Arabidopsis thaliana: one gene and its partners. The protein of the gene in region 3 interacts with the protein of the main gene of each other region in a pairwise test. Each region holds a gene or a part of one and is shown on either strand. Other genes may lie near its edges. The genes, in order: CID8, CID12 and PAB2.

What was found.
Region 1: the proteins of PAB2 (region 3) and CID8 interact in a two-hybrid assay, tested with the Arabidopsis thaliana proteins (2 studies listed by BioGRID).
Region 2: the proteins of PAB2 (region 3) and CID12 interact in a two-hybrid assay, tested with the Arabidopsis thaliana proteins (one study listed by BioGRID).

The regions. Positions count from the first base shown.
Region 1 is NC_003070.9:20,026,256-20,036,846, forward strand, and holds CID8 (CTC-interacting domain 8), read right to left. Parts: upstream 5,365-10,591; 5' UTR 4,989-5,364; coding exon 4,689-4,988; intron 4,413-4,688; coding exon 4,299-4,412; intron 4,208-4,298; coding exon 4,163-4,207; intron 4,086-4,162; coding exon 4,013-4,085; intron 3,915-4,012; coding exon 3,802-3,914; intron 3,701-3,801; coding exon 3,641-3,700; intron 3,561-3,640; coding exon 3,513-3,560; intron 3,405-3,512; coding exon 3,336-3,404; intron 3,212-3,335; coding exon 3,150-3,211; intron 3,068-3,149; coding exon 3,007-3,067; 3' UTR 2,668-3,006; downstream 1-2,667. Other genes in the region: AT1G53645 (hydroxyproline-rich glycoprotein family protein), read right to left, coding at 179-259, 371-556, 650-799, 1,178-2,332; AT1G53655 (uncharacterized protein), read left to right, coding at 6,502-6,531, 7,136-7,246; AT1G53660 (nodulin MtN21 /EamA-like transporter family protein), read left to right, coding at 7,723-7,884, 8,275-8,382, 8,475-8,509, 8,596-8,708, 8,785-9,046, 9,226-9,485, 9,579-9,691; MSRB1 (methionine sulfoxide reductase B 1), read left to right, coding at 10,432-10,591.
Region 2 is NC_003075.7:6,552,201-6,562,791, reverse strand, and holds CID12 (CTC-interacting domain 12), read right to left. Parts: upstream 5,811-10,591; 5' UTR 5,457-5,810; coding exon 5,088-5,456; intron 4,920-5,087; coding exon 4,809-4,919; intron 4,720-4,808; coding exon 4,675-4,719; intron 4,604-4,674; coding exon 4,531-4,603; intron 4,446-4,530; coding exon 4,333-4,445; intron 4,238-4,332; coding exon 4,178-4,237; intron 4,089-4,177; coding exon 3,972-4,088; intron 3,866-3,971; coding exon 3,804-3,865; coding exon of another isoform or gene 3,773-3,803; exon of another isoform or gene 3,710-3,772; coding exon 3,649-3,709; 3' UTR 3,190-3,648; downstream 1-3,189. Other genes in the region: AT4G10613 (RNA-directed DNA polymerase (reverse transcriptase)-related family protein), read right to left, coding at 1,313-1,753. UniProt on the Arabidopsis thaliana protein: Binds nucleotic acids in vitro.
Region 3 is NC_003075.7:16,331,734-16,342,324, reverse strand, and holds PAB2 (poly(A) binding protein 2), read right to left. Parts: upstream 6,035-10,591; 5' UTR 5,594-6,034; coding exon 5,326-5,593; intron 5,093-5,325; coding exon 4,974-5,092; intron 4,787-4,973; coding exon 4,130-4,786; intron 4,041-4,129; coding exon 3,963-4,040; intron 3,888-3,962; coding exon 3,798-3,887; intron 3,531-3,797; coding exon 3,393-3,530; intron 3,159-3,392; coding exon 2,988-3,158; intron 2,886-2,987; coding exon 2,736-2,885; intron 2,652-2,735; coding exon 2,433-2,651; 3' UTR 2,011-2,432; downstream 1-2,010. Other genes in the region: LEJ1 (Cystathionine beta-synthase (CBS) family protein), read right to left, coding at 28-80, 344-392, 578-642, 731-818, 919-1,131; CER9 (RING/U-box superfamily protein), read right to left, coding at 7,461-7,952, 8,035-8,181, 8,275-8,438, 8,522-8,682, 8,842-9,210, 9,290-9,501, 9,594-10,355, 10,462-10,591. UniProt on the Arabidopsis thaliana protein: Binds the poly(A) tail of mRNA. Appears to be an important mediator of the multiple roles of the poly(A) tail in mRNA biogenesis, stability and translation. In the cytoplasm, affects both translation and mRNA decay.

The DNA of each region.
Region 1 (10,591 bases), on a different chromosome or scaffold from region 3:
AAGAACAATGCCGTTATTACGGAAACCCTCAAAACGTATGACGAAAAAGCTAACGCCCAAATTTTGAGTACTAGTTCAAAAGAAATGGGTACCGTTTTAAGTAGAGGCAAGATCTAGAGTACGATCTATAAACTCAACCGGCGATGAAGTTTTTTAAGAAGTTTGAAACCTGAGTTCTCTATTTGTAGCTTTGTGACACCTCTAAAACGAGCTTGTCCATGAACTGGTATTTCTTATCAAATCCCCAACCTGGATTACTCTGCATTGCCAAAAGTATTTCAGAAAAACATCAATACCTCTCTAGAGATATCTGATAGAAAGAGAGTAATGTTAGATGAAGAGTTTGAGTGTTTAGTTAAAGAGATCAAACCTTAAGAGTAAGAGCTGCACGATCTGCAAATCGTTTCACGGAATCAGGTGCACTTGCGGGAAGCGTTGTAGCAATTCTATCGAGTTCCTCGTTCTGTTTCTTAGCAGTTACACGATCAGGACCACTGTAGTGATCAACAATCTCTTTCATAAGGGGAGCCTGTGTCATCGCTTCATTAATTGCTTCCTGCAGAAAGTGAGAAATTCAAGTGATCATCAACTGAAACAAAATATTGCGTCGATTCATATAAAAACAAATTCACAAATTGAACACTATTACCTCCCATTCTTCTTGATCCTTGATTCCTTCGTAAGCCACTATGAAAGGCTTCACCTTCTCAAGGCACTCACGCAGAGACATTGGTGGTTTCTCATCAATGTCAGGATTTGATCCAAAGTCTGGCATAATGTATTCAGGCTCACACTCAATCTGCAAACCAAAATAGATAGAGAAAACTAAGAGACTCAAAAACCAACAAAAAGAGCACTTTCTCCATCGCTCCTTTGACTGAATGACCGATTTCACAATGAAAGAACAAAAACCATAGAGGCTATTATAAATCTGAAAATCATACAAGACGAGATGGTGGCCTACTTTTGTACATTGTGCATATTTCAGTCAAACAACTTCAAAGCCACCACAACCAATTCTACCACATTATAGAGTATGACTCAATACTAATACTATTGCTACTCGAGAATTCAATATTCCTAATACTATTTGAAGTTTCAGTGTTACCATTCTCAGTAGCAAGTTGTATACTTTTCTAGACAATTCATAGAGAAAATAAAACACAGAAACATTTACCATGAGATTGGTATCATAAGCATCTATAATGGCATCGTGAGTAGTAGAAGGCAACGCCTTTTCGCAAATTTCCTCAAAACCTTCCGCAAGCGTTTTCATCAATTCAGGTCCCATTTTCTCAGCAAACTTCTCTCCATCAGCTGAATCTCCAGCAAATATACGCATAGCCTCTTGTTCACCTTCTTCTTCTTTCTTATCATCTCTCCATCCATCACCACCTCTTCCTCTGCCTCTCCCTCTTGCTCCTCTTCCTCTCCCTCTCCCTCTCCCTCCTCTTCCTCCCACACTGCTTCCTTCAGCTTCACCACGCGAAAGCTCACTCCTTGCTCTTCTTCCAGCCTCTTCCGCACTCAATTGCGGCTTAGGAGTTCCATCTTTGACCGTTGGAGCCCGCTTCTGCTGAGGTTGTACTCTCTGCTGCTGCGGTGGAGGCGGAGGGCGTCGAATTTGGCGGTTATCTTCTTGTCGGATTGGAGCAGATTCCACAAGAGGCTTTCCTCGACCTGCTCCACTAGGATGTGAAAATTCGTTTCCTAATGCATTGAATATGTTATCAGGTGGATCAGCTTGACCAGGTTTAGACTCTGGTGGTGGTGGAGACGAAGTTGCGTCCTGCATCTCCTGCAGCTTCACAAATACAGGACTTCCCTGAGATTCATCATTAGGCTGCTGCTGTGGTTGCGAACGCGGCTGCTGCTGTTGTGGTTGTGAACGCTGTTGCTGCGATTGAGACTGTTGTTGCTGCGGTGGAGGCGGCGATTGGCGAGGAGGTTCAGCAGCGAAAGGTGAAACGGTGTCTGATCCAACGGATCCTCTTCCACGGCCAATACTAGGAGAATCTGATTTGACAAATGACGTAAACGCAGGAGAAATCGAATCAGATTGGATCGGACGACCACGACCATGACCATAACCTCCGGCAGATGACGGTTCACGTCCAGGAACCACCGGTTCACGATTTACACCGAATTGTCCTCTTCCAGCGGCGGGAAATCCTCCATCTTCACCGGAACCGCGTCCACGACCACGGCCGGAGGAGTCGGAGGAAGAGGAGAAATGAGATGTGGATTGGGTGAGAAATGGAGTTTGTTTGACTAAGGATGCAATGGTGAAGCCATTAGGGTTTGAGAATCTTCTTCCTATAGCACTTCTCATCTGTGAGATCTCTTCAAATTTCAAGAACTTTCGTAAACACTGGCGATTGAGGATTTGAGGGTTTTGAGTTACTGTGTTAATCGGAAAATGGGGGTTTTCCGAAACGTCGCCGTTTCTGTTGACTTATTGCTGCATATTTGTAAATTCATCCCTGTAGTTTGAGTACCTGATGGGAAGAGATTTATACTTTTCGATTTGTCGAAATCCCCCATAGTTATAGACATTAGGCCAAATTCAAGCACATTACAAAGAAAATGATCCAAAATTTAATTTTGCAGTTCCATCCCTGGATTTTGATACCTGACGGAAAATGAAATATACTTTTCCATTGACCCAAAAACTCCTATGAAGAGAATGATTATGCCAAAACTTAAGCGTTCAACACTTCAACATAAATAGTAAAATCTAAAATCTCCTAAATTCTAAACTTTTTTAGTTAAGAACCAACAAAAATGATCAAAAAAAAACCTTTAAAGAAAGATGATATGACTCAATAAGTCAAAGAACTCAGAACAAGAACTCAAAATCCAAGAAGCATGTTCATGGTTGTTGTCTTTCCAGAAACTACATAATTGGAAAACAACTGCTCTAGAAAAAGAAAGACAACTGAAAAAGAATAAATAACTGAATATTGTTGCATCACTCTCCTTCATCAACAAAGCCTCTGTTTTCTCCTAGTTTGGCGATGGTGATCGAGTGATTCGCGATCTCACTGGTGTCTTTGAAGGGCTTACCCTGAAGAATTCAAAAGATTTCATTTCAAATTGTTTTTATATTCAATGAAAGGTTTGTCACAAAAGAGAAATAATGTGTGTACCTTATCGGCTGAGATCCTAAGACTATTCCGCTGCAGTTTAGCGCTGCAACTGCACTCTCTGCCTTTTTATCCCGTAAACAAACGCATATTCAGTTGTTAAGTAAAAACTAAGCCTTGAAAAGTTCAGCTTTACTTGTTAACACTAACAAAAGAGGACACAGAAGCTGAGTTTTAACAGGAGTTTACCATGGCAAATTCAACAAAAGCTATGCGAGTAGAATGCACTTGGTCACCAAGAAGCCTTAAGCGAGTAACCTGTACAGAGAGAGAAGATAGAAAAAAGTTGAATGTTATTGTTGTTTTACAAATTTCATATTATCTTTATGAGAGCAGAAAAAGCAAGTTTTCGGATTCTAGACTGACCTCACCGCAGGCAGACTGAAAGAAGGTATTGACATCATCTTCAGTGGCCTGCAATTTATAGGAATCTCTCAAATCCGAGAACAAGTATGCAAACGCAATCTAAACTTTAACGGAGAAAAAGTATTTACATTCTTGTCAACATTTGTGCAGTAGATGGTCCTTGAACACATCTCTCTTTCATCTTCTGACTGAATAAAACACCAAAGGAAATAGTGGAAACCATCATTTTTGTTTCTAAAACTGTAAGCTACTATGCAGGCTGAGAAAAATGGAACTTCTTGTTTTTTACCCTGGGGAGAAATGTGGGATTCACTGGAAGAATAGCAGTTTTTGAAGGTAAGACTCTAACTGGGTAATATCCGATCATTGTTCCACCAAGACTTAAAGCCGATCGTGCACCTTCTGTTTTTCAAAACAAATTCATACTAATGTAACTCAAACTTGACACTTGAATTTTGTTTGTAAAGAAGATTAAGTAAAATCCAATAGCTTTAACTTACGGTCATCAGAAAACTCAACAAACGCAAAGCGAAGAACTGAATTCGGATCCCCGCAGATTCGACAATCAACAACCTTCAGAAGAAGAATGTAATATTAATTAACAAACAAAAGATGAAAACCGGTAACAAAGCTTATAGATTTCAACTTACTTGTCCACAGCTGCTGAACAAGCCAGCAAGGCCTTCCTCAGTCACCTATTTGAAAAAAAAAAAAAAAAATAGGTGACAATGTTGAAAAACTGAATCTTTTTTCTGAAAATCTAAAAAGAGGGTTTAAGTAACTTACACTCTGATCAATGTCAGAGACATACACTGTTCTTCTAATACTATCTTCTCTTTGAGCCTTAGAAGCTCTTCCAGGTAACCTCACTCTCCTCCCTTGGTTATAGTTGTTTCTTCTCTGTAATCCACAAAGCCAAAACAAAAAACAGACAATTTACCAAAACTCTTAATGAAATGTTAAGTAACGATCATATAAGAGTTGCAAAACTTGACAATGTAACTATTAGCCAACCAAACCAGATCAAAAAACAAAACTTTCTATATGAAACTTCAAGCTAGAGACTTTCCAGCACAAAGACCTAAACCCACTTAGAATGAAACCTCATTTAGAGGTCAACCAAAAATCCAAACTTTACCAATCAAAATATAATCAGAAACAGAAGAGAGATTGTACCCTCCGGTTAATGGCAACCTTTTTGTTGTCTTCACCAGATGGCTTTATAGCAATCACAAAATCGTCAGACTGATTAGTATTCCTCTTGTAAGAAGGGAAAAACTCCTTAGCTTCAGGATTGAGTTTCTTGAACATGGCAACAAGCTTCTTCATTTGATCATATTCCGGTTTGGATTTGGGTTTGAGGTCATCCGATTCGATTTCCGGTTTAGAATCCGTGCTCTTCTCAATTCCGTCTCCAGTTCCACCATCGTTGATTACGTCATTTGAATCAGTGGCCATCTCAGTGATCGCAGCCATTAATTAGATCAGAAAATTCCAAAAAAATATAAAACAACAAAAAGGATCACAATTCAACAAAAAACAAGAGACAGAGGAAAGAAAAAGTTGCGAACTTTTCCTTCTCTCTTCAGTCGAATTTCGTAAAAAAGATGCAAAATTTGATGAGATTAATCGAGTTTTATTGAACACCCATTTCAGAATACGAGAATGCTTAATCGTAGACAATATATAAATCTAGTGCGGTGGTTTCAGAAGGTGGCGATGGATGAGAAGAAGAAGAAGAAGAAGGAATGATGGGTTTTGGTTTGTTGCTTAGGCCTTTTTCTAGCTCAATCAAATAGACCAAAACTCTCTAACAAGAGTGCTTCTCTTTTTTTTCGGACTAAGATTTTTTTCTTAATTAATTTCGTCAAATGTAAAATTAAAAAGAAAAGAAAAGTTATGATTCTTTATTATTTTATGTTCCTCTTGAGGGCCTTTAGATAATTACATATTTTACACATACACCAGTTTATTACATTTTTTATATTGAAAAAAATCTTTAGTAGTTTTAGTACACTTTTTTTGCTAAGAAATATATTACACATTACTAATATTATTATTTAATATAATTGTTAAAATGTTATTATTTTTGTTATGGATATTAGATAGGGTGTGGTCTTTCATATGGACTGCATTGAAATGTGTTATTTTTTAGATACTGTTAGTTTGACACATCAACAAAATTTTGATTATTTTATAAACTTTTATTTTCTTCATAATTGCAAGCAATTGTTATAATAATTAGTCCATAAATCTTTGGATTCGTTGGGGGATTTTTTCCTTTTTTTAATATATTTTTTAACTATTGCTGGGATTTTATAGTTCCACTTTTATAATCTGCTTTTATTCTATTTTGTTATTTTATTTTACATTTCAATTTTGGTTTGCAGTTACTTTTGTATTGATATCCCTAATAACAGTAACCACACAACAATATGATAATTTTCTGGTTTTTCTAATATAAAATTTGAATGGTTTCTCGTCAGGAAAAAAAAATACAAACAAAAAATGTAAGACTTTGCAACGATGTATTAAGTGTGTAATTTGTTTTGCATTTTTTTATTGTTGCATAGAAAAACTATCAATTTCTTACCAAAACTCAAATTACAAATTTAGAGTTTTCATAAATTTAAACTCACTTCACTTCTTCAGATTACGAGTTTTAGTGTTTAAAATTAATGAGTTGGTCTATAAGAGCTTCGTGTGTTGGGGATTTGAAAAGATTAACCAAAGCTTTGTAAGAATTTTGCACCCAAAAAAAAAAGTTTTTGTAAGAAGGGTGAATTAGCTGTATAGCCATATTAGGACAAAAAATTAAAAATATAGCCATATAATTTACGTAATTCAGCAAGTAACCAAAAACTCTAACTAATTACAAGTCTATCCCTGCATTATTTCCTTATTTTCCAATTTGCCATGACTCATCATCTTCTTCGTTTTGTTGATCAGATATTGATCTAAAGGTAATATTCTATATGTTCTAAAGGTAATGGATTGTGAATCAGATATTGATTTAAAGGTAATGTTTTTTTAACAGACCTTTTTCATTCATCATCTTCTTCGTTGCTTCTTCTCTTCTCTCCATCCAACAGAAAATTTCCAGAAAATTTAAATTTTTTATATCAATCCATTCTAATTTAAAAACATCTATTGATTTAAGAAAACTAAACCCTAAGATACTATATATGGAACCCAAACAAAAATAATTAAACTAAATGAAATCATCTCAAGTTTCAGTTTTTAGAAATCTGACAAAATCATGTTTATATACTTTTAATCTCTTTTCTCCTTTCCTAAAGCGAATTGAAATCGATTCGATTTTGGGTTTAAATTTGTGTTAAGGATTTTCAATTTTATATATTGATCAAACCAGAAAATATTCAATAAGATCTTGTGAGTCTTCGTTTTCATTTTTTTTTTGTTCTAACTAGCAAATAGAATGGTACAAAATTGAAAGTAAAATAGAAAACTATAGTTCGGTTCTGTTTTAATTAAGTTAAAGTAGAAAAAAAAGATGAGAGGCGAGAGAGGTGAAACAAGCAATGGAAGAGAGGAAGAAGTGATTAAGGTGGTGGTGGTGTGTATGGTGTAGGTCGTAGTAATATTTGTGTTGGTGGTTGCAGTGGTCGTGTGTCAATTGCGGCGGCAATAATGGTGATGATGGTAGAGATGACAGCGTAATGGTAGTTTCTATGGTGGTGACGATTGCAGTGGTGATGGTGATGATGGTATGACATTTGTGGAAATAGTGGTGGATGCAATGATGATGACGGTTACAAGGGTAATGGTTGTAATAGCATAGAAGAGATGGTGATTGTATAGTTAAGGGTACTTTAGTATATATTATAGTTTATATACAAAATGTCTCTGTTTTTTTTGTTGGTTAGTTTCTTAATTATAGTTTTTTTGTTAGTCAATTTTGCAAATTTCCCTTTTAAGAATAATGATATATATAAAAAAAAAATAAAAAAATAATGATATTATACTGGGCTTTAATTTTACTGGTCAACAAAAGCCCATAGTCTCTCATTATGTGTTTATGACCCGTGTACCCGACCCATCTTTATAAATTAAAACGGATTTCGTAGAAAAGAAGTTATTTAAAGAGGGATCCGCTAATTTCTTCGTTACTTTTAGTCAACTTTAAAGAGTTTGCTTAGAAGATGGAAAAGTGAGGTACTATTGAATATTCAAGAAGAAGACATACCAAATGAGAATCGCAATATCTTTTGCTGATTTGAGACCAAAACGATTGTTGACTCTAATGGCGGATCGAAGTCGGATCAGAGGCTTTCTTAGAGAAGAACATGTGACGTATGCTTCCATTCTTCTCTACATCACTCTCTCTAGCGGTCAAATCTTCTTCAATAAGGTTTTAAGTCAAATCTCACATTCATATGTTATTGGATCTATGTTTTCTATTTGCAGTCTTTTTGCTCAAGATTTGATTTTATTAGATCTGGTGGACATTAGTAGATTTTAAAGCTTTTAACTTTGACAATCTTGGTAAAGTTCTGTTACAATGCGATTTGGTTTTGGACAAGAAATATAATAATAATAAAATTCTTGTTAATACAACAGTAGGTTCAAATGTATGGTTCAATGGTGAGTTATGTACTTCCATTACACAAATGATTATTCGCTTAAACAACTTTTTTACTGTTCAAACTTTTGTAAATTTTGGTTCATTCCATTTCTCTTTAGCTTCTTTCAGTTTCTTTTTTCCAGCACTAATTTTTATTTCTGACTCAATCTGATGCAGTGGGTATTGTCATCTAAGGAAATAAACTTCCCTTATCCACTTGGATTGACATTACTTCACATGACTTTTTCCTCTGTTTTGTGTTTTCTCCTCACGAAGGTTTTTAAGGTATCTCATTGGTTATTACGAAGACCTTTAATTTCTTTAATGCTTATAAGACAAAAACGCTTAATTCTGATTATTAGTCTTCTTGTTAAAAGGTCATGAAGGTTGAGGAAGGAATGACATTAGAAATGTAAGAAAGAAAGTGTTTCTGTAAGCAATTTATTTATTTTTGAGTTGTAAATACCGTTTAGCTAAAACATCACTCTATGTACTCAGATATGTTACATCAGTTATTCCAATAGGTGCAATGTTTGCAATGACTCTATGGTTAGGAAACACTGCTTATCTCTACATAACTGTTGCATTTTCCCAAATGTTGAAAGCCATCAGTAAGAACTTAAGCTCTTCCTGATCTCATTTGCGTTACTTATAAATTTTAGATAATCAAGAATCATATTTTTGCAGTGCCTGTTGCTGTGTTTATACTTGGAGTTTGTGTTGGGCTTGAAATAATGAGCTGCAAGATGCTTTTGATAATGTCAGTCATAAGTTTTGGCGTTTTAGTCTCGTCTTATGGTGAATTAAACATCAACTGGGTTGGAGTTGTTTACCAAATGGGTGGTATTGTTTCAGAAGCCTTGAGGCTAATCTTAATGGAAATTCTTGTTAAGAGGAAAGGCATCAAATTAAATCCACTCTCTCTTATGTACTACATGAGCCCATGCAGGTATTGTGAAAATCAAAGAACCCTATTCTCATTATTTATTTTTTTAATTTGAAGAAATCATAAAATTCACCAATTTAATAAAGTTTTTTTTTTTTTTTTAAACTTTTGTGGACTTTTACTTTTCTACTTTTAAAAGAATCCCAATTTTTTTTTTGCTTGTATTGATGTGTGTGTTGCAGCGCGATTTGCTTGTTCATACCATGGATATTTCTTGAGAAGTCGAAGATGGATACATGGAACTTTCATGTTCTTGTCTTGAGTCTTAATTCGCTATGTACATTTGCTCTCAATTTGTCGGTTTTTCTTGTGATATCTCGAACAAGTGCTCTTACTATCCGAATTGCTGGCGTGGTTAAAGATTGGTTGGTTGTTTTGGTCTCAGCTCTTCTCTTTGCCGAGACAAAACTCACAATCATCAATCTCTTTGGTTATGCCGTTGGTAAGATCATCTTATGTTTACCATTTCAGACAAAATTGAGCATTGGATTGTAAGACTTAAAAGTGTGATCTTGTGAATTTTGTTCACTCGCAGCCATCGTTGGTGTAGCTACGTATAACAACCATAAGCCAAAGAACGGTGAAAGCATAACGTTGGTTTCTCAATCTCCGAAAAACTCCGACAAGAAACCCGATGGCCCATTATAGCATTTTTCAACATAAGAGAGGTAACACATGACATATAGAAAGAACCATTTTTGTACTTAGGAAAATTGTTATCTATCATACAATTTTTTAGGAGCATCAGAAAATAAAGGAATCTTAAGCAGAAAGTCCGAGGAGAGTGTAACTGGGAATACAATTTTTAAAGGATTTCTTGGCTATATTTGTTTAGTTCCTATCTCTATATTCGAATTTTTCCAATCATATTAAAGATTAAAGCATTTTTTCAGTGATTTTACGTGTATGTAGTGTAATCATTCACTTATCATTTCTCAAATAGTGTTTATTTTTGGGGTACTATTACTTATAGTATGTGGCTATGTCCTCTTGTTATTTCCTCATGTTGACATTTCTTCATTTTGATTACTGAAATTATACTAATATAAATGATTTTTAAAAAACGTTAAAAAAAAATCCATTATATTAAACAAAACTCAATAACAATTTCAGATTTCCATGTAATTTTCACCCAAAAAAGAGACAATATAATTGGCAATGAAAAAATAAAAATTCATGTTCTCTCGATTTAGTTAATGGGCTTGTGATGTTAAAAAGCCCAATAACGGCACCAGTGAGTCTCGACGTGGCAGCTAGAGTTCCAGATCTCATCTCACATCCTCAACATGCCACGTGTTCTCTTCCATTCACAGAAGAAAGAAAAGACTTCTTCAAAATTGTTAATTGAACAAGTTTCGGCGAAAACCATTATAAGCTGTGATTGTGTGATGGCTTCTTCTACTAGATTAACTATTATACAATCAAGCTTCGTCTCCGCAAGAACAAGACTCAATTACGTCTCCAAGACAAATCATTCTGGGTTCGCTTGTCGTTCTCTTTCAAAACCCAGAAACTTGAGTCTCTCTGTTTATTCTATGGGTTCTTCTA
Region 2 (10,591 bases), 9.8 Mb from region 3:
TTTACATGGGCTTGTGACTTTCTCATGAGATTTTTCAAAGGCTTTTTATGGACATTTTAATAAGTTATAAAGATATGTCTTGGCCAAAAATATACAAAGGTCATCCTGGTTATTATATAAAAAAATGTAGAATCTAATGAAGTATGAGGCAACATATTCGGTAGTAGCCATCTTTGAAAAGCAGGTTGAAAAGATGGAGAATCATGAATTATAGCAATCGATGTTGAATGAGTTGAATAACATCCAAAACTGCATGATCTCATTTGATGCAAAATATGTTCAAGCTCCATGAAATTGAAATTTAATATAGGTACACTTCCTTGCTTCAAAATATGTTATTGAGTGTGAATTATAATTTATAACTGAAACTTGTATTCCACTTTCATTTTAAAACTATTTACAATGATTGAGATAAGAAAATAGTTTATTACTATTTCTGTTACTTATTACTTGATCTTTTAGGAAAAACAATTGTTTCAAAAAAGTTAATTTTTTAGATTTTTTATTCACTATTTATTAGTTATTATTGATGAATTTTAAACTTTAAAACAAATAATTAAATATCACTGGTTTAAAATTATAAAAAAAATATAATTTAAAAAAATTAATACATTTCTAATCAGTTTTAATATATATTTTTTAATATATGTAGTTTTCTAGAAAATCAATTAAAATGAACATAGATAGTAGAAGTTATTCTTTTATTTAATAGTATCGCTATTTAACTAATAATGGAAAAATCATTCCTCGGATCAAAAGTACCTAGATTTTGCGGGAAAAGAAACATAACGGTATCTAATATAAAAATAAAAAGAACTAAAAAAATCTCCCTAAAACTGTAATTGCACCTATAAGTTTTTGGTTAGCTAGTAATATAAGTCCACTTCCTAGCTGCAAAATATGTACGTGACCATATATATTTTCAGAAGTTTTGCTATAAGCTTATTTTTACTCAAACCGTTAAATATCTTGATTTGAATATATTTGACCTATTAAAACAATTTCACAATATCATAATTTCTTTTGTTTAAAGCCATATAATTAAATAGAAAATTCAAAAGAAGTTGTCAAAAAAAAATGTGCGTTTGATAAATTTGGGTTGGGCTCTAGTTAAACATACAAATAAAAGTCATTAATTAGTACCAGCAAATTGTAATATAACTTTTTTTTTTTTTTTTTTGCTAAGTGAGTAAATATCATATAAAATGAAATAGAGTTGGATTTATATTTTTGATTACCTAAAGCTTTGGTTCCTTGGCAAAAAGAAAGAAAAAACAAGGAAGCAAACAATTATAATAACCAAAAGACAGAACTATCTGATCCACAATCTCATAAGCGATCTAAACTTTCTCCGATGACACCTTGCGTTGATGGAATTGATGATCTCACGGTCTATATTCTTGAAGATGATAGACGGTAGAATGTCTTGTAAGTTATGCAAAAGGTTGTTTCTCTGCTTCCAAATAGCACAAACAGTGGCTTGAGCAACAAGCTTCCTAATGATGGAAGGAGAGGAGGCCGTACTTAACTTGATCCAAGATAGTAAGCTTTCCCAAACTCTGAACTGAACAGGCTGCAACCTAAGCCTAGCCTGCACCATGTTCCAGATTGAAGAACTGAATCCACAAGTGAGAATAAGATGGTCCCGGGTCTCAACAGACTGAGAGCATAAACAACAGAGAGGTGAGATCTGCAGACCCCAAGAAACCAACCTCGCACGAGTAGGCAGCCTATCGAGATTTGAAATCCACATATGAAATGAGTTTCTAGGCGTTGCACCTTTAAACCAGATAAGAGGAGCCCAATCCTTTTTGTCTTCTCTTCTCCTCAGGACCTCCCATGTTTTAGAGGAAGAAAAACCATTACAATCCACATTTTGAACAACCCAACCATAGGAATCTGCCGAGTCCGTTTGCAATGGAAGGGCAATAGTTGATAAGTAAGTGTGTAATTGAAGCTCAACATCAGAACGTGGTGATGGCAAAATCCAACTATTTTCCACAATAGCTTTAGAAACAGAGGACACCACAGGGATCCGCAATCTCCTTGGACCCTCTTCACCTAGAAACTTAATCAGTGGCCCAAAAGGAGACCAATTGTCCCTCCAGAAACTTGCATTCAACCCATTACCAAGATAACACTTAATAAAACGTTCTGCGAGTGGTCTTAGGCGTATGAGGCACTTCCAATTCCAAGTATCCTGCAATCTTTTCTTTATGAACCAGTAATGTCTATGCCAAGCGACCCAAAGAGAGTTACTATTAGAGAATAAGAGCCAGATGAGCTTTAGACTAAGTGTAACATTCCACTCTGTGAATCTTCGAAGGCCTAGCCCCCCTTCGGATTTTGGCAAGCAGACAACAGACCAAGCCACTTTTGCTTTATTGTAATATAATTACAACAATTTTGACTTTTTGTTTTTTTTGTATGTTTTGGAAAGTACAAAAGATGTCAAAGCTTTACTTAGAGATGACAGAGACGCTCTCGAAATGCGCAAAGATGGATCAACTCAACTGGTGTAAGTCCAACTAGCCACCACATACGCTTGACGTGTGATACTTGCAAATTACAATTTCATCCTTTAAAGTTTATTTACCATTCGATTAAAAATACAACTGAGCAAGTTTACTTGTCATGATAATTAAAAATTTAACATTGACCAATTCAAGAATTTGACTGTCTGACTGATATTAATGTGTTTGCTGATGAAAGGAGAACCAAAAGAAAAGTTAAAACTTAAGAAAAAAATACAAATATTCAGGGTAAAATTTAAAAATTTCCAAGATTCCTTTCTTTATTTTATTCAGATTTTGTTTTTTGATAATTCTTATTTAAATCCTATCGAAAACAGAAATTTGATTTTGTTTTGAGTTGACTACGAACATAGACTAAACATGGGAAATATCCAAAAATTTAAGGTAAAACAATAAATTTCTAGATTCCTCATTCTCTTTTTTTATAATTAAATTCAAAATTGTTTATGGTAATTATATAATTTATTTCTAGGACGACTTTTGATTCCCGACGTTAACATGAAAACATAAAAACTTTGAACATAAATTTATAAATTTAATATCTCAAAGAAAATATAATTAAAATTCTCAAAATTCTTCATTTGTTGTTAAAATTTAAATATGTTTGTGACTAGTATAGTTTTATAATCTTGATATTCTTCTGATAAACATGATTCACGTTTCCGAAATTTAAAATGAAAATAGAAATTGACTTGTTCAACTAAGAACACAGACTTTCATGTACCTAACACTTTTCTCGAAGACGAAAACAATTAAAAAAAACAAAGAAGGACAATAATGTAAATGCATAACTCTAAAATGTAGAAGAAACTTTTAAGCACCAAAGCAAGTTTCTAATAACTTCAGGGGTAAGAGTATAAATAACTAAAAAACAGAGACAATCTTCAAAAGCCTCTCTCAGTGTTTTACTCTTCTGCTCTGTGTAAACTACTAAACGTAGGAACCCAAATCGAAAAAACTCTCCCTAAGAGATTTACCCAAAAGCAAAAGGCAACAGAAGCATCATCAAGCTTCTAGCATTACATACGGGAAAACAGAAGAACCAGAAGTTTCAGACAAACATTCTTTACATGTCTGTGAGGAGCAGAAATATATATAAAACTTGTAGCTACGGTTAATGCATTTGATGTCGCGGGATAGCACGGGAACGAACCGGTGTCTTTGATGGACTCACCCTGCAAAATCCAACCACCAAAGTACGATCAATGTTCAGATTGATGATCAATTTAGAGAGAATGTTAAAGAGTAAGTGTTGGTTTGTTCTTGGACCTTATCGGTAAAGAACCAAGAAGGACACCACTGCAGTTGAGAGCCGCTATCGCGCTTTCAGCCTGCGGAAGAGTGAAAAGATCATACTTAACTAATGAAAATGCATAAGCGTTATAGTTGACAAATGGAAGGTTGGAAGAAAGAGAGATAACAGAAGTATTTGCTTACCATGACAAACTCCACGAAGCCGATGCGAGTTGGATGATGATAATCGCCCAGTAGCCTCAGACGGTACACCTCGCCACACACAGACTCAAAGAAGAGTTTAATGTCGGTTTGAGTGAGCTGTTGAAAAGTGAAACTAAGCAAAGTTAGCAACATTAAGTTTCAGAATAGTTTGGCAAAGGAAACCAATTTATTCGAGTGAGAGTCACCTTCTTGTCAATGTTAGTGCAGTAGATAGTTCTTGCACACATCTCACGCTCATCTTCAGTCTAAGAACAAAGACAGGACTAAAATCAAACCTCTTGAGTCTAAAAAACCATAACTTTGCAGTCAGAATGTGATGAAACACAAGAAAAAACCTTACCCTTGGCAAGAAGGTTGGGTTAACCGGTGCAATAGCTGTCTTAGACGGCATAACCTTCACAGGATAGAATCCAAGCATCGTCCCAGACAAATTCAGAGCAGTCCTTGCACCCACTACAAGTCCCAAAATGACAAACCATAAACCAAGCACTTACAGGCATTATCCAATAAACAGATTACATAGAGAAACTAATGATACCTTCATCAGTGAACTCGATGAAAGCAAACCTAAGTACTGAGTTGGGATCACCACATATACGACAGTCAACAACCTAAACAACCAAATACAGTCAACACCATAACACAACACAAACAAAGATGAACTTTAAGAAGTTGCTTAAACCTGTCCAAAGCCGATAAACAAACCAGCAAGCTGCTCCTCAGTGACCTTAAACCCAAGAATAAGATTACTAATAAGTGATTATACACTAAAGGCTGAGAATGAACAATTGAAGAAAGGTGGAAACTTTTTAAAACCTGTTGGTCAATATCAGACACATAGACAGTTCTTCTTATGATCTCTTCACGCTGAGCCAAACTTGTCCTAGGATTCATTCTCCGTTTCCCTTGTTGTCCGAACGACTTCTTCTGTTTCAAATCAAATCATTTTGACACATAAAGGTGAGATTTTTAAAACTCACAAACACACACAAGAAGAAACAGAGAAACCAAAATGAAGAATCATCAAAAACCCTAAAGAACAATTTGATTCAAAACCCCAAAATCACAGAGAAGAGAGAAGAGAGATGTTCTTACCCGACGAAAGCTACCGTCTTCGTTGACGGGGAAATTTCCGGCAGCAACAAAGCCATTATTAACGGCGAAGAAACCGCCGTTAAAACCATTAACAACTGGCTTAGTAAGTGAAGGAGGAATAAACTCTTTAGCCATAGGATTAAGCTTAGACAAGAGCTCGTGAAGCTCTCTCATATCACGCTTAAAACTCTCACCACCGTCGGATCTCGCCACGTGGACTCCGATCTCATCATGGATTCCATTTCCACCGTGATCGTTGTTAGAAGAAGCTCCTGATTCTTGACTGGTGACGGAAGACGGCGGCGACGGCGAGATCAAACCACCAGCTTCCACAGTAGTATTAGCTCCGACGCTCTCAATGACCGCCATGATCACAAAATCGAACAAAACCCAGAAATAAAAATCTGATTTTTGAGAGAACCAACGATCAAGTAAAGAGATTTGAGGAATACAATGAAAAAGGGAACAGTGGCTATAAGAAGAGAGCCACCAAGAAAGAGAAGAGAGAAGAAGAAGAGGACAAAAGAGTAATCAACCAAAGGATTAATGGTGATTAAATTTTGATTAAATGAGAAATATTAGCGAGGTTCGTTGAGAAAATGGTTAGAGATCTGATTTTAACTTTTTTAACCGTGGTGAAAAAGTTAAAACGATTGGATAAAGTAAAACAAATCGGTCGTACTACAGAGAAAAGATCACGCTCTGCAATTTTCGGACAGAGCTAGATCATAGCAAACCTGGATCTACAACTCTAATATTTATCCAGAAAATATATGTACATTTTTGGCATCATATATTTATATCACTAAAACAAAACGTATGTACTTATTTTATTTATTTTTACTTGTCCATCACTCATCAACTAAAACATATATGAAGAGACTTTTTTTATAAAAAAGATACAGATTTTAATTACATTTTAATCAACCTTCATATAAGTAATCTACAAGTTTCCATTCTATAGTAAAAAATAACATAATAATAGTTGAGAGTTGGGATTAACGTAATGATATGGAGAATCACGAGTCACGACTAGTAAAACAACACATGGCACAAAACGAATGCATAGTTTTCTTTAGGTGTATAATATGTTTTCTTAAACAATAAGCTTTAACATTTCCAGAGGGAGTATAACACTAGGTAAAGACTTGTATAAACTCTTGTTTAGTATGACAGTTGAAATTAGTTTAAAATTTATTATATTAAGATTTATACATTTGATATATGTATTATGAACAGATAATTAGTGAGACAATATAAATTTGTTGAGTGTGATTATATTTTGGCGACTTGCCAAATCTTAATATTCGAATTTCAATATAACAATTTTTATTATAAGAAAATTATTTTTTAAAAAATATTATATTTCTGTTAATTTATGTGTAAATGCTAAGTAAAAGTTAAAACAATTTTTGGTCATATAATCCTGATTTATATTTTATTTTAATTTTCTAATTATAACCATGCAATGCATTTCTTCTAATAAAAATTCAAAACATCTAAATTTGCTGATGATTGTTTTTTGAAATACATACATTTGGTAACTTTAGATATTAAAAACCGTTTATGTGTGTTTGGTAAGTAGTCTTAAGAAAATAAAAATAAACTGTATTTGGAATCAAAAGTGTTTGATATTAAAAATGCTAAATTATACAAAGAAAAAAGTAGTTGAGAAAAATTATAGAATTACGACATAAACACTAAAAACCCAAAATTATTTTACCTTGTACATGATTATGCTTTACAACATATTTGTCATGAAAAAGGCTAACATTTAATCCATCTCGTTTTAGCGTTTTCGTAAAATCAAATGAATCTCTTCCCTCAATTTTTTTTTTTTAAATAATATTCTTAATATTTTATTATATTGAAAAATTATCAAAGAATCTCTTTGCACATAATTATTTACTTTTCATAAATCCAAGAACTAAGAATCAATTCTTTTTCTTTTCTGATAAAGACTAAGAATCAAAATTATAAAAAGTAAAATAACATATTATATATATATATATATATATATATATATATATATGAAACATAGAATGGCCCATATGGATAAACATGAGTTAACTAAAGCATCACTTACTGACAAAACAATGACAATGACATTACAAATTCAGAATTATCCATTACTCTCTCACTCATTATTATTTACCTTTCTCACTGCAGGTAAATAAAAGAAATTACCGTGTAGCCTAACCAGTAACCACCATATTCGTACGGTGGTCGAAGCAGTTACCAACTTACCAGTTCCATCACCAGCTTTACAGCTATAACGACACGTTTAAAGCTCTTTTATTTTTTTTCCTTGGAAGTATAAGAATAAAATAGAGATGCTATTTTGATTTTGACTAATTTTGATGTCATCCTAATTTAAATCTGAATTACACCAAATTATGGTTATATGTATGGTGTACAATTAGATAGAGAAATATCCTAAAATACAGTAAAAGAAATTTTAGCTAAAAAGATACTATTATTTTGGATTTTTTTAAAAATATTAAAATAATAAAATCTATAAATATTTCATAAATCATAAAATTAAAATTTATGGTATGTTAAAAAAAAATTTTGGATTCTGATGGAAGTTACAGAAAATAGCATAAAATGTAGTATATTTGAGAATTAATCAATTTAGACATGATGTATTCAATACTTTTTAGAAATAAGATCCATAGTGGTTGTAACATATCTAGTTATGTAGGAGACACTTAAAAAAATTCAGAAATAAATTGTAACATCCCGATTTCAGGATATATAGTAGTGAATGAAAAGAGTTTTAAAAATTAATTAGATCATCTATATCCACGAAATGCACTTATCTTTTCGATTAAACATATCGAAAAAACTTTACAGTTAAGCATGTTTGTGCTGGAGCAATTTCATGATAGATGATCTACCGGAAAGTGATTTTCGGTAGTGTTTGAATGAGAACAAAACACAAAAAAGAATCATATATAATTTTTGAAGACCGACAAACAAATCTTTAAAGCCTTCAAAAATAGCAAACTGCTCGTCGAACAAGAATAGGCTTTACATATAGTGGCGGTCAAGAATTAAACAAATACAACATCTTAATTGATTTTGTCTACATTATTTTAAATTTACATTACCATAATTTTTCTTCTTCTAATTACCCCTATGTTTTATGCTGTTTCTATGAGTTGAAAATCAATTAATCCGAACCAGTTCGGAAATAATATACATGTGTTTTGATTTGGTATCTGGTTTTGTAATTATTGGGGATAAATTTAGCAAATCTACCTAGTTTTTTCGAATTTTTGTACATCTTCTTAAAAGAATTATTGTGTTTTTGGAATCAAAGCTGAAAATAGTGGTTTTAGATTATTCTTTTAGTTTAAAATGCTGCCTAATTGTTTATGTTATCGACGCAATAGCTACCAAACTCTTGTCTTGTATTATTTTCCGGAAATCGAATCATGGTACTAGACATCTTCTAGTTTCCTAGCAACCACCAAAATACCAAATCTCATTTTATGTTTTGTCTTTTTCCTTCGAAAGTTATTTGGTATCACCCGAAATACTTCTCTTTTGTTAGAAAATAAAAACAAATACAATTTGGGTTTAAACAAGAAAAAAGCTACATTTGGGTTGTTTAAACAAAAACAAAATATATTTTGAGAGGCCCATATCGGGAAGCCCATCTTGTGAAGATACAGCTAGAGAAAACATTTTGAAATACTCCAAACTCCGTAGTAAACAGAAGATCACGAATTAATGTAAATAGATTAATGAGATGTAAATAATCTGAGTTCCTTACCGAAAACTCACTTGTAATTTTTTGGTACTTTAAGTTCATTAAACACAAAGATTATATAGCTACCAATATTGAAATCACCGTAGAAAAAAAAATACGAAAACAATATTTCGCATCCACATATACATGATTTTAGTTTAGTAGTTAAGTACTGAATAATTTAAACAACACGAACCAAAACTTATTCAGAGCAAGGATTGAACGTAACAATCTTATCGTAAACCTCACCAAAGTATTTGGAGGAAGAGAATTATAACAAACATTCTTTTTTTTTTCAAAAATTATAACATATAATAAAACTTATAATGAAAAAATTATATATTGGGGATATGTGTAATCCGATTAGGATTAGTACTTATCTTTGGTGATAGAGTTTCTAACCTATATTTTAGGGATTTATGTTTATCTCTTGATAGAGATAATTGTGTATAAATACCATAGTTAGTGAATCAATAAAAGCAAGTCAGTTGAATATCTAATTCTACATGGTATCAGAGCAGTCGATCCTTGTGGATAAGAATTAAAGCTTCCGCATTAAAGTTCTTGTGATCAAGAAAAAAAATCATGAAGATAGTGATCACTGAAGGAGAAGACGGTGACGCCGACGAAAACGTAGGCATGTTAAGGGATGGAGGTTACGTGATCGTTGGTTTCCTATGTTTTTAATAGGATTGGTTTTGGTTTTTCTTTTTATGTTTCTAGAATTATTTTAAAGTTAAGAGAAATTTCAGAGTTTCTTTTTTGTTTATGTTGTTACATTTCTTGTGGGAGAGTTTGGTAATAGTTTTACCATTATGGGGGAGTTTGGTTATAGTTTAGCCATTAGTAGAGTTTATGGAACACTCATGTTTTTTAGGTCATGTGTAATCCGAGTTATGGACCGTCCAAGATAAGGACGATTGTTTGTGGAGCAGCATAATTTGCGCACACGGGATGTATTCCCTTTTACCAAGATCGAAGACAAGATGAAGTTCCACCCCAAGAATAAAGTTTATACCCTAAGATGTTTATTGACATGATTTGTCCGTCCTCGACATATTGTCCACGACATACGTGTTCCGCTTTGTGATTGCAAAGTTTGCGTTTTGCGTATCACGTTTGTCGTGCGGGGAGTATTGGGAATATGTGTAATCCGATTAGGATTAGTACAATATCTTTGGTGATAGAGTTTCTAACCTATATTTTAGGAATTTATGTTTATCTCTTGATAGAGATCATTGTGTATAAATACCATAATTAGTAAATCAATAAAAGCAAGTCAGTTGAATACCTAATTCTACATTATACCAAATACTCCATGCTCCATGCTCCTGTTAAAATTATACCAAATACTCCATGCTTGGCACATTTCTCTACGTAGCATGAAAAAAAAAATGAATGCATGATGAAAAAATCACGATGGAATTATGTTGGATCAAGTCATATGCGAATCATTCCTCAGAACTATATGTAACATTAAAATGATCATAAGTACAAATACAAACCTTGCACAAAAATGTACAAATATATATATATTTATATACATTGTTTTTAATTTATCGTAACAAAACAATTACACCCATTATTGTGCTTTATGATTTTGTAGTTGGCAAAAAAATGATTTTGTATTTTTGATGCGGATTATGTCTCATGTTGAAGACATTTCATTAATATTTAAAATCATTGGCTGCTATTCATATATTGTACATTATAAGTAAAAAAAAAATTGAATGTAAGATAAAAGTAA
Region 3 (10,591 bases):
TAGATAAACAGATAGGGAGAAACATACTTTCCAGGTACTGTCGACATCAGGGAACAAGTTTGTATCATTTTGACTGCGACCTGTTACAAAGGACAAGAGGTTAAGTTGTTTTCACCAAACTGCGCCATACAAAACCATAAAACGTTCATGACAACAAAACTAAACATGAAAGCTATGTGCCAACAAAACTAAGATCCACCAGAAGTCCAGAAGTGAAATCCTACAAGTAGATTATGACTTAAGCCCTTCTTAACTGATTATAATGAAACTGAAAGAGTGGTGATCATCACACCAACAGAAGATCTAAGAATACTTTTGAGTACAAAAAACATGTATATATTACCAGAGATGGAGTCCAATGCAAGCAAATCGTAATCAGAAACAACACCAACCTGCAGGAGAAATTACAGCAGAGGAGTAAGTAAGACAAAGCATATTTTGTTAACTTCTAAATCCAATAAATCAGTAACTAAACCGACGTTGCTTGTTATTCATGACTAAGTTTAATCACGAGCTTGTTGTTCAAGACTCTAAACAGAGGAACACAATGACAAAAGATATAGTTTCTTAGTTTTACCAGTGTCCAATTATCGTCAATTACAGGCAATCCCGTGACTTTCTTCTCAACCAGAAGTTCCAACGCTGAAAGACAACCAAAAAGACAATTTTTACGAGACTAGTACAAGGATTGACTGTTAAATTCATGGAAAATCTGTTCCCGCATAATTACCATCATCGACCGACGTAGAGGGCTTAACAACGTGCAAATTCTGTCTCGGAGTCATGAAATCCCCAACTGTGTAACCTCCATTTTTTGCCTGAAACACCCAAAAGAGCCAAAACAAATCTCAAACCATAAGCCAAAAGGGTTATTAGGTAAATAAAAGGATTTATCTAAAAGGAGCAAAGTTGACTCACCGGAACAGAGTTATTATTATTAACGCTGGCAGGAGCAGCGAAGAAGGCAGAGACGGTGATTGACGGTGAAAAAGTGGAGGAGCGACGACGATTAGAGAGAGGAAGAAGAGAGAAAGATGAAGAAGAAATCGGAAGGAAGCTTTGATGATAGAGTGATGTAAGTAGTGGAAGTCGAGTTATGGGCATAGAATTGGATAAAGAGATTGAACCCATATTCGCTTATCCTCTGTTACTCACAGATTCCAATGAAAGATTAAATCTTTTCTTTATGAAATCTGAGAGAAGAAACAAAGGTAGAAAATTTTGTTGAAGGAGAGAGAAGTGAAGAAGTAGAAGAAGAGAGAAGCGTTTTGATTGGGTGGTAAAATTCGGAGAAAAGTAGAGAGAACTTGTGATATGATAGGTGGTGGTGGTGGGGACATAGCCACATATCAATTTTTGGTATATGGTTGATTGGTCGGCATATTTACGTTTCCTTTGGGTCCTCAATTTCAAAGCGATATTTTCCATCTTTTTTTTTGGTCAAAACTCAAAAGTCAGATGTTAATAAATAAATAAAAGTCCAATTTCGATTTAACAAGAAACCCTAATTTGAACCCTCTTTTGGTTTCAAGTGTTATTGGATTTTTATGTCGTGATTGTGAGATTGTTGAGTGTTGCCATCAGTTGAAATATCTAGAGATTTTGATAATAGTTAAACCTTTCATACACTCGAATCTTTTAAATATTTTCGAATTAGTTCACAAATATCATCAGACTCAATAAAAGATGTGTTGCTGGCTTTGCTGCATGTCAAATAGATACAAAAAAAAACAAGTAGACTATATAGTTCATGACGCAATGTACTGGAAATCAAAATTCATGTACGAATATTCTAAATCCTTGGCGTAGATGAAGACTTTCTTTTTTTTGGTAAGTAATTTCTCATTCTCAAATAGTTGCAGAAAAAGTAGTCCAAAAACCAGATCAATAACTGAAACCAAAAACAATGGTAAGATTTCAACCAAACAAGATGTGTATCATGTTTCCTTAGACCTCTACTAAGATTTCTATTCGACTAGTCCCAATCAATCTAGAAGCAAAGTGTATAAAAAGTTTAAAATGTATTTCTTTCTCATTCAAACATTGTCTGCTGAGAATGAGACCCATTCATCCATTTTTACCAGGACACCTTTTTACCATAAAATAGAGCTTGAAAAACTGGTAAAAAAAATGACTAGAAGCAACAACCACCAACAGTCAAAAGGCCAAAGAGGGGGATCACCAGCATTGGCCTTATTGGTAATCAAATTCATCTTCCGTGAACACTAGATCGAACAAGCTAGAACACGCAACTAAATCAAAAGAACAAAGCAGATAGGTTTTTCCTTTGTGGTTTAAAAACGAAGGTTTAAAATAACACAAACGCAGTTATGTGGAGGAATCCAAATTCCCAGGGAGAAAACGAATAGCAAAGAAACAACTCCAATTGTATGGGAGAGACAAAAGCCAAAGATCAAATGATAAAAAGCAATTTAAGAGAGGTTCAAGGAAGCGAGCTGCTCGGTTGCACCACCAGCAGCGACACTCCTGAGAACATCCATAGCCTCTGCAACTTTGGCCTTGAGAGCTTCTGGTGACTCCAACAGATGGAGCACTTCAGTCTGGTCCATCTCCAAAAGCATCCCAGTCACTTTGGCTGCAGACTCTGCCTCAACCTGCTCCACCAACGGGTACAGCACCTCACCCAGCATCTGTACAAACACACCCAAAGGGTCACATTATTATAATCCAAGCAAAACCAGTCTCTCTATTTGGTTTTTAAGAGATTCTCTCACCGTCCTCTGTTGCTCTGGAGTAGCATTAGACAGATTTGAAGCCAAAGCTCCAATAGTCAATGGCATGTTGTTGCCCATATCATATGGAGGCACATCACCACTACCACCACGCCCTTGGGGATACCGGAACATCCGACCCCTTGGATGCATCTAACCACCATCCAAACAGAAAAACCATACGATCAACTATTAAAAGAGAGCCAAGCAAGCAAAGCAGCCTTTATTGCAATTAAATAAGGAAAAGAGAAGAACCTGTTGCTGCATCATGGGATTTTGCTGCTGGGAGTGTTGGATTCCCCCAGGACGTCTTCCTCCTCCAGGACGCTGCTGCTGTGGCTGAACCATAGGCATGAAGAAACTGGGTACAGGACCCCCACCAGGTCTCATTCCAGGAACAAGCTGCTGTTGGTATCCATACCCAGGCTGTGGCATTGCATAAGTACAGGTTAATATTATCCCAGCAGTTTCAAAATAGATTTGGAAAGGCTCAAGTATGAGTATAGCAACTATAGAGCTAAAGAATTTAAAAACTTTTCATGTGACTTAAAAGCATCTGTCAGCTTGTAATTCATTATACCCAAGGTAGAAAATAAACATGTGCATATCTTTGTGTAAAATCGTACACGGCTACTTAAAGTAGAGTAACATGAAGATTACCTGGGGAGGAATCATGGCAGGAGGGGCCTGACCATAGAACATTTGTTGTCCAATACCAGGACCACCCGGGGGATACACTGGCATGCGGGGACCAACAGACGGCTGCATTGCAACTGGCCTCACTTGGGAAAACTGAGCCTATTCACATCAATGCAAATACTCAGCAGCAGGAGAAAAAAGAGATTTTTCTGTGATACAAAAATACTAGGACATATGTTGTTTATGCTTTATATATTGTTGCACTTGATTATAAAGAAGAATCAGCATCAGTATTGATAATTATACGCAGTGGGACATTCTAAGACTTGTACATGATGGGTCCAATTGTTTAGAGTTGAAACTCCAACAGGCAAAGTAGGAGTAGTAAGTGTATCACAAGACGAGGTGATTCCAAGAGAAGCAAACCTGTAGTCTGACCCTTCTGTCTTCCTTCCGCTGTGCAATAGCCACATAGAGTGGCTTGCTTTCGATCATTTTACCGCTCAACTGTGACATCTGTACAGTATTCCACTGTTACTAACAATCAAAGTCCTCATAAATACAATCAACAAGACGATACAACTGACTTACAGCTTCAGTTGCTTCTTCGGGAGTTGCGAAAGCAACAAAACCTGAGCCTTTGCTTGTTCCATTAGGATCCCGCATCACCTGTAATATTTAATAAAAGAACTTCTTAAATAATGAACTAGGAGAGTCAACTCACTACAAATAAAGAGAGAGAGAGAGGGACATTGAACCTTGCTAGATGTAACGGTACCAAAAGGAGAAAAGATCTCTTTAAGTTTCTCATCTGAAATGCTAGGATCCAAATTCTTAACATACAAGTTTGAACTTTGAAACTTGTCTGCAGCTTCCTTCAAATTCTGTTCATAACGGACCCTTAATTCTGTTTCCCTCTCTGACTTCTTCTGGGCTCTACCAACATACCACTCCTTATCATCAAATTTGTGCCCATTGAGAGACTCCACAGCCCTAGCAGCATCATCAGCATTTTCAAAGTTGACAAACCCAAAGCCCTTGGACTTCCCTTCTCCATCTTTCATCACGACAGCACTTGTTATCTTTCCATACTCGCCAAAAGCATTCTTCAAGTCATCATCGGTAGTACTTTCCGCGAGATTCTTCACATACACATTGGTGAATTTCGTTTTGTTAGCAGTGGAGTCTCTTTCTTGTCTCCTCAGGAAAGGACCCACATACACTTGCTTGTCATTGAGCAACATGCCGTTCAGTTTCTCTATAGCTTTCTGGGCAGATTCTTCATTGGCGTATTGCACAAACCCATAGCCTTTTGACTGGCCTGAAGAATCGACAGCTACCTTGCACGACACAATGTTTCCAAACGATGAAAAAGTATCATGCAGTGCTTTGTGGTCGATGGACTCGTCCAAATTCTGCATATTATAGCCAGGTTTAGCATCAGAAAGAGAGAAAGAACACCCAATAAAAAAACTTACATAACTAAAGAAATCAACTACTTTTGCCAGACTTTTCAATGAATAATACAAGATACAAATTTTTTCGCAACAATCATCTCGTCTTACAGCAACTCAAATGTCAGAAGGATAGAGACAAGCGTACCTTAATAAAAATGTTGCCAGCGCCACTTCGGCGAACACTAGGATCACGATGAGAATACATAACCCTAATAGGTTTTCCATAAAGAGGTATGTAATTCAGTTCTTGGATCGCTCTTGCAGCTGCAACAAAGACACGAGATAAAGTACCATTAGAAGACAGAAGTAGCATTAAAAAGATTGATTAAGCAGGGGATAAGCTTTCCAACAGCACCAACCACATTGCATACATACAAACACCATAAAGTATCAACATTTAAAACACACCTCATTCAAATCCAGTACTGGTACTATCGAGCAAACCCTAAAAATTGGAAATTGTAAGAAGAAGTCCAAATAAAATTAAGGAGACTAACCGTCTTGGGGATTGGTGAAGTTAACGTATCCATAGCCAAGAGATCGGCGAGTGACCAAATCCCTACAGACACGAACGGTGACCACAGTACCCATTTGGCCAAACGCATCGAAAAGCTGCGAGTCCGTCACATTGAAATCGAGATCCCCCACATAAAGCGACGTGTTACCAAACTGGGTCGCCGTTGCTCCACCTGACGTCGCCGGAGCAGAAGTGACCGCCGCGGTCGAACCATTCGGAGTCTGACCCTGAAGTTGAACCTGCGCCATTATCTTTTTTTGGATTTTCGAAACTTTTTTGACTTTTTTTGGGGTTTTAGTTACTCTTCCCTCCCCTCTCGTTATTAGACTGAAACCAAATCGAAAACCCTAGAATTTGAAAGAAGAAAAAGAAATCGAATCGAATGACAAAATCAACAAAACTAAAGCCAAAGTTTTTATCTTTTCGTTTTTTTTGTGTTTTTATGGGTATATCAGAGGAGAGGGAAGATGAAATAGGGTAAGAAATTGCCGGCGGCGAAGCCTGCGACGGCGAGTGAGATATTTGGGGGCCGAGAGATTCTAGGCGAAACAAGCACAATTACGATAGATGAAAAAGAAGCATTACGGTTTCTCCTTTTCTTTGCTTTTATATTATTAACCCAACAAAAAAAAGAAACCTTTAATTCCCCTAGAAGAACCCTAGGAGTGTGAGATTGATCTCAGCCGTTGGATCGAGTCTGAAGTAAATCGTAGGATTGATTTTAGAGTTGCTGGTGAATTGATAAGGTCGTCTTCCTTCTCGTCACTTTCGGAAAAGTCAAACAGATACGCGCGTGTTTGACACTTTCGAATCTAATTAGTAACCAAGTTTGTTAAAATTTTGTACAGTGATGATATTTTCTTTGATTTATCTTAACATTTCTTAACTCTGATTAGCAATATTCTCACTGGATCTTGATGAATTTTGATTTTCCTAAAGTAAAAGTTGTTAATATTAATATTTACCGCACGATTTTATATGGTATGCAAAAAGTATCTTAATTAAATAACCAATATGTTAAGATTTGACTTATCAAAACAATTCAACTTAATACACGATTGGCCTTCCAGTAGAATTGTGACACGAAAGAACATAAGATGAGAGATGAGATTTTGCAATACGCAATCATTTCAAAAAGCATTACAATAGAAAGTAGAAACACACAAGGCATATATATATACGAAGCGTCATTACTCATTTCTTAAGATCCTTTGGATATTATACACAAACAAAAGAGGATCAACGGGATACACATTGACTAGTAAATATTTCCAAGCCTAAGTTAATACGACTCAGTGCACAGTTTCTTTCTAAGCTTCTTGTTGGATTGCACGTCTGAGCCTTAAGTCCATTATCAACATCTCCCTAAAGTCCTATCAAGATACCATCTCCCGCATCCTCACTACTTTGGTTTTGCCAAAGCAGCTTCCCCAAAGTTATGGAGTCTCCGACCAATGAGATAACGGTCATCACGGATAGAGTTGTGAAGGTTTCTAAACCAGAAGCAGAAGAGGCTCACTGAGAGACAACCTATCCATGCGAATCTGTAGACCGCTGAGTTCACTACTAGCGGATATCCGAGCATTGGGAACACTCCTCTCGCCAACACATAAGGCACACATAAAGCCGTTAGGAGTTTCATCACAATCGGGAACACAATCTCTCTAAGTACCCATAACCCTTGAAGCATATGGGTCTGAGATGAACCTGATATGGACATCTATCTAATGGGGTTATAACATTCCTCTTATTTTTATTCTGTTGGAAAATAAAAAACCAAAAACAGTATCAACGAGTATGTCTACAATCACACATCGGCCAAATAGATCTTCAACGCCAATTCCTTAAGGCTTACATGCACTAACATAAGAGACAAAAGACAAGAATTTGCAGTAAGCGAAGGTATTCTAGAAGCATTATCATAGAAACACACAAGGCATATGGACAAACGAAGCATTATTCTAAAGATCTTTTAGTTTCGTACACAAAAACAAAAAAAAGAGAATCATCAACGGATATAATAATTTACACATCGACTAATAATAAATCTTTCAAAGCCATCTCTTAACGGCTTAAGTACACAAAATGTTAAACGCCTCAGTGCACAGTTTCTTTCTAAGCTTCTTGTTGGATTGCACGTCTGAGCCTAAGTCCATTATCAACATCTCCCTCTCGTCCTATCAAGACACCATCTCCTGCATCCTCACTACTTTGGTTTTGGTTTTGATTAGCTAAAGCAGCTTCCCCAAAGTTATGCAGTCTCCGACCAATGAGATAACGGTCATCACGGATAGAGTTGTGAAGGTTTCTAAACCAGACATGGCATCTTTTTGCACAGAAGCAGAAGAGGCTCACTGAAAGACAACCTATCCACGCGAATCTGTAGACCGCTGAGTTCACAACAAGCGGATATCCGAGCATTGGGAACACTCCTCTTGCCAACACATAAGGCACGCATAAAGCCGTTAGGAGTTTCATGACGATCGGGAACACAATCTCTCTAAGTACCCATAACCCTTGAAGCCTCGAGAAGCCATCTTCTCTTACCCGCTCAAACTTTGCTCTCCAGCTATCATCCACTATTGGAAGCATATGATCCAGCATTACCTGTCCATTGACGTTGTTTTTTAGTGACAAAATATCTTCTTCTGCGGAAATAAGTTGCTGATTGTTGGAGAAAATTACTTACCAGTCTAGTCCAGATTTTCAAAAAGATGAGCCCAAGAGCCCAGTCTTGATACAGGAGGAACACAGGGCTTTCATCAACTGGGACTCTCATTGGGACAATCACCAAAAGCTCAAACAGAAGTCCAATTAGCACCGGAATGATAAAAACCTGTTCAATCACCATTTGAAAAGTACAGAATCCACATTTAGTAGAGTTTAGAGTTTCTCGTATATTGAAAATTTAACAGCACAAAACACTTACCCATATGGCTAACAGCACCGAGCTCTTGAATACAATCCCACACCATTTCCATATTTGGTTAAGCAAGACTGAAGTCCTCTTTGACTTGACATGCTCGATAGCATACCTGGCCCCAGATATGGTAGTCCAAAAGGCATATGTGCCAATGACGAAAGCATACAGATCTACATATTTTTAGGGAATACTGTTAATAATGTGTAACCCGTGCCAAAGAATGACTCAGAAGATCAAAATTAACAAACATTACCATTGCACTTGATGCCATGAGTTATTGGAAGAATGGGAATGGCACTGAATAGAGCACGTCCCAGCGAAACTGGCACAACTATCAATGCTGAATTGAAGAGAAGAAGAGTCACCCATGCAACAAGTAGAAGGAGAATTATCCGGACCACAAAGTTGTACCTGCTAAAAATATACATTCATATCAGGGGAAGCCCTAATGGGAGTCTTAAAGTACTTAGTCAACTCTATATACCAAGCGAAAAGTCCTGTTAATTTATTCAAGTATGCCAAAATTCTTAATATCAAACAAGCTATTAGCTTATTTTTAAAGTAAGAACTTACTCAGAATCAGATTGTTCGTCATCATCTTCATATTCCTCACCCGTGTTGACATTCCCAGCACGGAGGCGACTTCTGTTAGGGTCATCAGCTACTGGAAGCGCAGCCATGGCCCTGTCAGGTCCTCCGACCTGCAACACTTGTGCTCTGTTCTGCCTTCCTGGTTCACCATTTCCATTGTCCTGACCAATGTTGTCTTCTGGTCTTGGCAAGAGGAAGTCTGTTAAACCAAGCGCCCAACCAACCCCAGTGAACCAGCAGCGTAGAAGGGACTTAATTGTGGTCCGAAGTCTGAAATGCTCGATGATAAATGGAATGCATATTTGAAACAGAAGCATGTCGGCGGGAATCTCAGTGAATGGGTCGGATACACTGCATATATGCCCAAGTTAGGAAAGACCTAATCAAACACAAAATCTCCAAAAACAAGAGGTTAGTCAATATTTCTTACGATATGTCAAGTGGAAAGATTGAAGGAGCCATCCGGATCGCAAGTTTGACTGGTAAAAATACCAGCATCACAATCAAACTTCCATACACTGCAACTGATAACAGTACCCTCCGAGCATGCTTGTGCACTGGATCATCAATCAAATCTCGGAATGGATTGTAATTAGGATCTGCTGGATCACGAAGGAAATACAGAACTCCAGGACGAAGAACCTGCAATTGGCACAAAGTGAAAAGATATATTTAGATAGCAGCAGCGAAAAAAACTATTTCTAGAATGAAAATGAGTAGGGACAACACAGTACCCCTCGAAGAAGGCTGACGAAGATGCTTATTTGCAACATGTACATGATTCCAACAACCCAATGAACAAGTGAGCTTGCCAGAGGAGAAATTGATAAAAACTGTACCCTGTGGGACATTGTTTTACCGAACATCCTAACAGTGCAAACATCTAGCCACCAACCACACATCAGAGGAAAGACCCCAAGCTCGATGACCAAAAGAAAGGCAACTTTGATCATGGTCATCAGATGCCTCATTGCTGCCAAGAACTGTCTAAGGAGGGATGGTACAGCTTCTACTATAGATGCAATACCATAAAATCTTCCAACAGTCAGTGGCTCACCCTTGGCATATCGAATCAGTGCAATGATCCCAAGGTAAAGGAACACCAGAAATACGATAAACATGTACCCAACAGCCAGAGTTGTAATATCAGAAAGCTTTGAGGCCCCAACAGTAGAACCTTTCAGGAGATCAGTAGCAACTGATAGCGTATTGTTTGCTCCATTCAATTCACTTCCGTTGACTTTCATCATTTCAGTGAGCTGACCAAGCAGCCCATTTCCTTGGCCCTCGCTAGTCAAATTCGAGACAGCAGTCAGCGCACTCTTCAGAGTAATATTTTCCAATGAGAGTCCGGTATCTGTAAGATGCAATGATGCAGCCACAGCAGGGCCTCTAGCAGCAGCAAAAAGCCATGACACGTGATACAATATAATCCGTCCCAAGGTAAAGGGCACGAAGATAACAACACCAAGGAATATCATATTGCTTGCTAGAACCTGCAAAATTATGCACATCATGAAGATTTAATAAGGGCCAATAGTGAAGAAGAAGGAACATAGAATTTAAAATATACATTGCCAAAAAGTAGAAACATCAACTTACAGTAAAGGCATTCTCAACCAAATGAAACACTGGACCTTGCATTCCAACCAGCTCATCAAATGGAACGTCTTCTGCACCATCAGCGTCATCCAACCCATCAAACATCTGTTCAACCTGAGCCTCAAGACGA